2 linked regions of the Canis lupus familiaris genome follow. The protein of the gene in region 1 interacts with the protein of each later gene in a biochemical or structural test. Links are inferred from orthologs where the notes say so. Each region holds a gene or a part of one and is shown on either strand. Other genes may lie near its edges.

The links.
Region 2: the proteins of SETD1A (region 1) and WDR82 form a complex in vitro, tested with the Homo sapiens proteins (2 studies listed by BioGRID). The link is inferred for Canis lupus familiaris from reciprocal best matches to the Homo sapiens genes SETD1A and WDR82.

Annotation. Positions count from the first base shown.
Region 1 is NC_049227.1:17,399,701-17,403,503, forward strand, and holds part of SETD1A (histone-lysine N-methyltransferase SETD1A), read right to left. Parts: coding exon 3,237-3,803; intron 3,083-3,236; coding exon 2,297-3,082; intron 1,956-2,296; coding exon 1,779-1,955; intron 1,649-1,778; coding exon 1,561-1,648; intron 851-1,560; coding exon 693-850; intron 530-692; coding exon 442-529; intron 1-441. UniProt on the Homo sapiens protein: Histone methyltransferase that catalyzes methyl group transfer from S-adenosyl-L-methionine to the epsilon-amino group of 'Lys-4' of histone H3 (H3K4) via a non-processive mechanism.
Region 2 is NC_049241.1:37,900,379-37,904,879, forward strand, and holds the start of WDR82 (WD repeat-containing protein 82), read left to right. Parts: upstream 1-1,689; 5' UTR 1,690-1,998; coding exon 1,999-2,159; intron 2,160-2,484; exon of another isoform or gene 2,485-2,618; intron 2,619-4,501. UniProt on the Homo sapiens protein: Regulatory component of the SET1/COMPASS complex implicated in the tethering of this complex to transcriptional start sites of active genes.

The sequences.
Region 1 (3,803 bases):
TGAAGAGTGGAGTCGTATCTGGTGATGGCAGCTAAGGGGAGAGGAGAGGAAGGGGAAGCACGGCTTGGTGGCTGGGCCTTCTTCTTTGAAGGCAGAAAGGCACAGTCTGGTAGTATCAGGGGGGCGGGGTAGCAGGAGAACTCGGGACCCCACGTCTTGAGGAGTTGGGAAAAGTAAGGAAGTTCTGCTGGGTGGTCTTCAGGGGACAGCCACATGTCAGTACAGAAGCTAAGCAGAAGGGAACTGTTGAACATCAGAGTTAACTGTTTACAATAGGCCAAGGGTTCCAAGAGATGGGGCTAAGAGACAGTTACTTTGGAAGGAGCAAAGGTGGCTAATAAATCCAGCATGAAGTTTCTGTGTGGACTCAGGAAAGGGCGAGGAAGGCAGTGGAATCCCTTCCTCCCCAAGCCAGAATCCTCCCCTCCTGCCTGTACTTACCATCAGACGCCTCCGTCTCCTTCTTTGCAGCGTCCATGGCCTCCTCACGTTCTTCATCTTCTTCATCTTCCTCCTCCTCCTCCTCCTCCTTAAAAAAAAAAAAAGGACAAAAAATAGGGACTAACAAGTAAAGGACAATGGTCCTCCAGGAGGCACCGCTGCCTAGGCTCCAGCCCAGAGAGGAAGCAGCTATGGGGACGGGAACTCAGGAAGTAGGCTTCTGGCAGGGACTGGGCGTCATGGCCCCTCACCTTCTCGGAGGAGGACTCCTGGGAAGCCTCCTCCCCCTCACTGTCCAGAGCAAAGGACTTGCGGTGCTTGCCCTGGGTCTTGCTTCGCTCTTCGTCTCGCTTTGGGGGCTTGGTCCCCGGACGCCCGGGCTCTCCAGCCTCCTTGTCTCGCTCAGGGTCTAGACCCAGTGGAGTGGCAGTTAGGGCAATTTACCATCAGTAGTAACAGTTCCTGTTCCCCTGGCCTGAAAGGAGCTTTGCACCCACCACTGCTGATCTTCCCAACGGTCCAACAAGACAAACCTCATTTGACAGACAAGAAGGTGAAGTTCCACAGGAGAACACAAAAACCTCAGAGCTACCTAACAGTTCTATAGCTTGGCCACACTGCACCCGTGTAACCTTTTATCCTTCTCTGGGTTAGGTGGAAGAGAGAGCCTGCCCCAAGAAAACAGCACTAAGGCCCAAGGGTCTCTGGGGAAGCCAATCAGACTAAGAAGTTTCCTAGCCATGTAAGCCATCAACCAACAGCTCAGACTTAGACAAAAGTGGAAGGAAGGCTGGAGAAGAGCTTAAGCACTGGATGGGAAACCTGGGTAAGTGACCCGTTTAACCTTGAAACCCTAAGATCCTAGATGTTGAAATTAACCATTTCCACTTTCCATTGGAAAAATGAAATACAGGAAACTTCTATCAGCACACAGTGAGAACCACAACTAGGACTCAAGGATGACCCTCTCTTAAGCTCTTCATACTTCTCAGCACTTTACTTCAATCTCTCTACTTGGCTACTTGCCCCCAGACACCTTCCCCCTTTGTCCCTGCCTCCTGTATTCCTATCAGCAGCAGGCACCCTCTCCTGTCTCCTCCCACCTGACCCCTCACTCACCATCTTCATCTTCCTCAGCTGGAGTGGAAGGACGGGGCCTCTTTTCCTCACTGGCCTCTGAAATTTCCGAAGGCTCTTTTCGCTTTACCTGGGGTGTGGGAAGAGATAGGGCTGGTTTCGAACTCAAACGGTCACAGATCCCAACCACCTCTCCCCCAAGGAAGGGAGGTCCCCACCACACCCTCTCCTCCCTATGAGGCGAGACCAGCTCTGAGTACCTTGAAAGAAGGCAGCCGCAGGGCCCCTCGCAGCCCTGACCCAAAGGCGAAGGCCTCGATGCCTGTGGTACCCCCACTCTTGGCCCAGTCTACGAGGGACAGCAGGCCCGGCTCTTTGAGTTTTGTCTTCTCTTTATCCTCCTCCTTGGCTTGCTGTTTGGCTGCGTTCTGGAATGGCTGCAGGCAGTAGGGGGACTGAGCCCCAGAACCTAGGCGCTCCCTCCTGCCTCCTGCCTGAGAACTACTCCCAGGTCCCAAGAATACAGAAATGCATCTACTCACTCCTCTATTTGACACAGATCTATGCCACACCTCCCTTGCACCAGCCCCTGTACAGGCATTTTCTCCAAAGTCTGCTCATTCAGTCCACCCACCTTACAAAGCAGCTATCATTCCCACTCTACAAACGGAAATGTTGAAAATCCAAGCTCATTGAGACTTAAGGGCCATATAAGCCAGAAATCTACTCTCTCCAGCAAAGCCCCAAGAGTTCCTCAGTCCCAGGCATTGTCCCTCACCTTGGCCTTCTCTTCTTTGCTCTCCCACCACTGATCAAAGGCTCCAAAGGCCACATTCTCCACCATCTTGCGGTTGAGGTCTCGCTGCATGATGCTCTTCATCTCTTGGACGAGGGTGGCCAGCACACGCCCCACGGTGCCTGCTGATGGTAAGGCCTTGCCCTCTGCCAGCTCTGCTTCCTCCCTGGGAGGCAGCCGGGCCTCTTCTCCCGACACGGAGGAGGAGGGCAGGGGCTCAGCTGCTACAGGCAAAGGCAGGTGGTAGGCTTCCCGGGAGTATGCCCCCCGGCCTTCTTGCCCTTGTGTGTACAAAGCATAGGGTAGGCCATAGGCTGCCTCCTGGGGGGGTGGGAATGGGAGGAACGCCTCCCCAAAGGCGCCACCAGGGGGGCCAGCTGAGGCAGCAGTCAATCCCTTGCCCTGCCGCAGCTGGTGCAGTCGAGTTAACATCTGGGTTTGCATCTGGAAGGACATGGGCATCCCCCCCCACTGAGCCCCAAGTCGATCCATGAGCTCTAGGGAGTTCACAAAGTCATAAATGTGGGGGGGTGGCGGAGGAGGTGGGGGGTACTCGGGGGGAGGCGGCCCATCAGGGCGCGGTGGGAGGAGGTAGGCGGGCTGGTGGGGAGGATAAGCAAGGGGCAGGGAAGCCAGGTATGGAGGAGGAGGAGGGGGTGGAGGAGGAGGGGGTGGAGGCTGCTGGGGGGGTGTCGGGGCCGGAGGGGGTGAGCCGCCCCTGTCGTCATCGGAGATCTCCATGTCCTCTCCAGAAGAGCATGGAGAAGCCTGTAGGGATGCAGACGAGGGTCACAGAAAGCCTCTGTCTGCTCCAGGGCTTTCCCTCAAATACCCGCTCTCATGTCTAATTTCCTGACCCCCACCTCGGGCCCAGCCCTGCCTCCCGGAACCCGGTACCTCTGCCAGCTGACCCCAACCTCACCTGGTTCTGTCCGTTGGCCTTGGGAGACTCCCGGGGAGCCCCTGGTTCCCCACTTCCTGTGGGTGCCACATCCTCAAAATTAGCAGGGGCTGGAGGGGGTGTGCAGGGCCCGTGACCAGACCCAGGAGGTGCCTCGCTCCCTGTGTCTCTAGAACTAGGGCCTGTGGTGCTGCTCTCTTCCTCTTCCTCTGTGTCAGACGCCAGGAAAGAGAACTTGGAGCGCTGCTCCTTCAGCAACATCTCGATGCGGGAATCCAGGCTGCTATGTTGAGCGAAGGGCACGCTCTCGTTGGTGGTCTCTGGGGCCGGGGAGCCGGAGCGGGCAGGTGAAGCTGGGCGGGGGGAGGTCCGAGCTTCTTCTCTCTCAGGGCTGGGCCCCCCCCCACCCCCACCTCCACCAGGTTCTGGGGGCTCCGGGGGTGGTGCTTCTGAGGCAGGTGGCCGGTAGTCCTGGTCAGCAGGCCGGCTGGGCTCCGGGGGCAGGTAGGAAGTGTAGGAAGGTGGGAAGCGCTCAGCTGTGTTTTCAGCAAAAGATGCCCCAGGGGGCTCTTCCCGTGTGGCCCGACG
Region 2 (4,501 bases), on another chromosome or scaffold:
TTTACCCAGGGACATCCTTTAGTTCTTTCTAGAAAGACTCATCTGTCCCAGGGTTTCTGTTTTGTTTTTTACCATTCATTATTCAGGTTATACTTGGATCTCTGAATATCACATCTTCCTAATACAGCTGATTTTAATGTTTAAGTCTTTCCTCTTCCTTTTTCTTCCTCTTTAGCCACTGCAGTTTAGTGAAGCAAAATAAACAGGCCTGTCTCCATTGTTAAAGACCCCAGGCAATTAGTCTTTGAAGAGTTGCCCACAAGTTAGAGATCTATGAACTCCCATAGGTTGCACTGAGTTTGACCCCTTGCATAGAAAGTTAAAGCCAAGGTGCCTGGTACCTTTTTTTGTGATCAGATATCACTTTCCTTTGTTAGAGACCAATTTTCCTTCCTTTTAAGGCAATGAATCCTTAAACAAACCACTGAGACAACCCCATTGACTACAAAGAGGGTTATGTAACTGTTTTATATCTTGAATGTGGTGGTGGTTGCACAACTCAATATGGGTGTCAAAACTTATAAATCTATCCATTTAAAAGGTCAGGGTTGTTTGTTTGTTTAAGATTATTTATTTATTCTTGAGAGACACAGAGAAAGGGAGGCAGAGAGACCTAGGCAGAGGGAGAGGGAGAAGCAGGCTCCAAGCAGGGAGCCCGATGTGGGACTTTATCCTGGAACTTTGGGGTCACGCCCTGAGCCCAAGGCAGACGCTCAACTGCTGAGCCACCTAGATGTCCCTAAAAGGCCAGTTTTTTTTTTTACTGCACATAAATGATACCTCGATTAAGAACACCACCGCCAATTCGGTTTACTAACATGGAAAAATGTTTAATATATAATACTGACCTAGGAAAAAAAAGATGGTTGCACTTATAAAGTTCACGTAGAGATGCGAAAAAGGAGGAAATCTGGAGAACTTAAAATTGTATTTTGTTGAATAAGGAGATAAAACTCCATTTAAAAAATTTCCATGCAATTGATGCTATGAGTTCTGAGGCTATAAATGTCTTAAAAAGTGCTTACAAGTGTGTGGAGCTGTACACTTAAAATCCGTTCACTTTATGCACTTCATGTTATGTGTCAATTAAAAAGTTTTTAAGGAAGGCTTAAAGAAAACTTCTGGGTAGGAGTCACACAGGTATATATCCAAATTTTTAAAAAAAGCACTTAAACTTTGTGCAGGCTACTGTATATTACACCTCAAAACAAAACCAAACCAAACCAAACCAAACAACCCACCTGAAACTGAAACTATGCTGGCGCTGTAGTGCACGAGCAGTCAGAGCCCGCCAGCCATAGGTCCACTGACTCACCCCCAGAACAGGCCTCCAGTGGCGCAGCCGACCCCCGCAGTACCTGCTCCCCGTGGCCTGCGGAAGGGGGAGCCTCTAGGGGGGGCTGCGATCCTGGGGAAGGGGGAGCCTCTAAGGGGGACTGCGATCCTGCGCAAAGGCTCACGGCTCCCAGGCACAGCTGCCTCCGGGCCCAGCGGGAAGGCGGTGGACAACCGCGCCCCTCGGGCCCCACTGCGCGCCAGAGAATCGCCGCCTTCGGGCACCCCGCCACTCCACTCCGCTCCTGGGCGGCCGCACTGACGTCACCGCCCCACCGGCCCGCCTCGCGCCCCCGCTCCGCCCCGCCCCCTTTCCCGGCGTGCGCCGCGGTAAGGCTCCTCGCCCTCGGCTTCTGCCTGTCGTCCCAAGATGGCGGACACAATGAGCCGGCGTCGCGCCGGTTGGCCCTGAGGCGACCGTGAGGAGGAACGGTCCGCGAGCCCCCGCAGTCTGGCCCGAAGAGCGTCGCACGTGCAGGAGGAGGAAGGGGAGGAGGTGGGCCGACTGTCGGCTGCCCTTACGCTCGCCGCCGGCGCGGCGCCCGCCCCGCCCGGGTCGGCCCCTCGGCAGGCAGTCAGTCCGCCCGCCCGCTCGCCGCCGGGCCCCGCCCCAGCCCTGCGCCGCCGCCGCCGCCGCCGCCGCCTCCTCCAGCCGCCGCCGCCATGAAGCTGACCGACAGCGTGCTGCGGAGTTTCCGCGTCGCCAAGGTGTTTCGCGAGAACTCGGACAAGATTAACTGCTTCGACTTCAGCCCCAACGGCGAGACGGTCATCTCGAGCAGCGACGACGACTCGATCGTGCTCTACGACTGCCAGGAGGGCAAGTGAGTGCGGCGGTGGCCCTGGGCCCGAGCCCGAGCGTGTCGTCGGCCCGTTCCTCCCTCCCTCCTTCTCTTGGCCCAGCGCTCATCCCGCTGTCCGTCCCCTCCCCCGGCCCCGCCGCCCTCCCCCGGCCTGTTTTGCACTCGCTGCTGTCAGGGCCGCTTCCACTCCGAAGCCGCCCGGGAGACCTTTACTTTTCTTTTAAAAATGAGAGTGGTAAATAATATCCTTATCATTTCGTATGACTTCGGCCTCCTGGAAAAACGCTACTGCCTCGCTCTCCAAACCCCACCTTGACCTTGACCTTTAAACGCCCGGTCCGCCCACCTCGGCCCCGGCAGGCAGCTTTTCCGCTCCTCCGACTCTGTCAAAGGTGCCGGTCAGCTCCGACCCCCGCGCAGAACCGCAGAGGCTGCTCTCCTGCCTCAGTCGGCAGCGTCACAGCTCGCTCTGCCCTCCTCGGTGACCTCGATTCAGCCCTGGCACTCCGCCCATCCCCTGCCCCTCAGCTTCCCGCGGCCTTCTGCCGGAAGGCCGCGTGGGTCGTAGTTCTTAGCTGTCAGGATTTATTTGTTGTGCCTCTTTGGGCCTCCTGTCTTTTCCTTTCTGTTCCAAATCATTCTCTTACTCCCTCAGACCCGATGCCCACGTTTAGTTAACTAATGTAGTTAGTGGTAGTTAACTTTTTAACAACATCAGAAACTTTTCCTTTTTGTCAGGAAAAAAACGAACTTGGCCGTCCCATCCCGACCTGAGTGGGAACCTGCTATGAAAACAAAGAATACATTCTAATCTAACAATTTCATGTTTCCTCTTAGACACTTTTTTAAAAATTACACTTTTTAAGGGTCTGAAATTTGTGTTGCCCCAAGTCCTCTGGAGATCCATTGCACCCCATCTCTGTAAAGTCTTAAAAGCACATTTTGCCCTTTTCTCTGGGCATCTTGTCAGCTTCACCTACCCTTTGTAGACCTGCTTTGCTCTCTCCTTGTTAAATTGTGAGCTCCTTTGGAGCAGAAACTGGTTTAGGCTAGATTTTACTTTCCTCAGCCACCTTCCCCAAGTAGGTTTCCAGGTATTTGGTTTAATTCAGTGGCTACTGGTTTTGTCAGATTTCATTTTGTTACCTGGTTGCAGATCTTAGTTTTTGAGTCCTTGAGGTTTTCTATTCTCCCACTTTCCTTTTGCCTTTTATTTTGTTTTAAAACCAGTGCCTTCTATAAACTTTCGTTTGGAACTTATCTCTTCATTTGTGAATTTGGTTATCTAAAGTAATGCTGGTTTGATTTAAGCTGTATCTTCTCCCCAGTTTTTTTCCCCACGAGAGCTGTGAAAAAGTATTATGTAACTGGTTCTGGATCTGCCTGCAGTATATGGAAGACTGGCCTAAGTGGTGGTCCTGGGGAAAGAGAGAATTGTTAGCTGGACCATTATTCATTTAGTAGATGGATTTCTGTTCAGGTCTGGCCACTTGAATCAGCTTGGAAGAGAGTAACATATAAGTCTGCAGTGAGTGTCAGGGTTGCTGGATTCTGAAGCTAAAAGTAATTTGAAGCTGGCTGACTTAATGTTTAGTGCTTGTGCACAGATTAGAACCTCTTCCTGGAACCTGAGGATGGAGATGTATATTCTCATTCAAAGAAAATAAAGGTTGTGACATGTGACAGCATTTCTTAGTTGTCTTCAAATGTGGCATAATATCTACTCGTTGGAAGCAATGACAATGACTTGGAAGTCCTGTCTTGTTAAAAGTAAAATGCCAAAAAAAAAAAAAAAAAAAAGTAAAATGTTAATTTTATGACAGTGCAGTTTATTTACTCATGTAGCAATTTTACATATTACAAACTTACAGAAAACTTAAAACAGTATTTCAAATTTCCCATATCATCTAGTAATTGGCTACATTTTACCCCTTTTGCTTTATCACTCTATGTAAATATTTAGGTGTGCATTTTTTTCTGAACCATTAGAGAATAAATTGGAGGTATCAAGCCCCTTCTCTCTAAACACTTCAACATGGATTTCCTAAGCAAAAGGACATTCTTTTATATAACCAGAGCACGTTATCCAAATTAGAAAATTTAGCATTGCTATAATAGTATAGGGCATGCTCTTTTAAATTTTCTCTTATCAGTGAATTGTGACATTTGGTCTGTGGCAAGAGTGTGGCCTGGTAGTTAGGTGACCTGGGTTCTAGTTTGGCCTTGTGACCAAGTATATGACCGAGGTCAGATCACTTCTCTGAATATTAGACGTCTTACACCCTAAAGAGTCCATGATCTTTTTTTTTTTTTTTAAATGATAGTCACAGAGAGAGAGAGAGAGAGAGGCAGAGACACAGGCA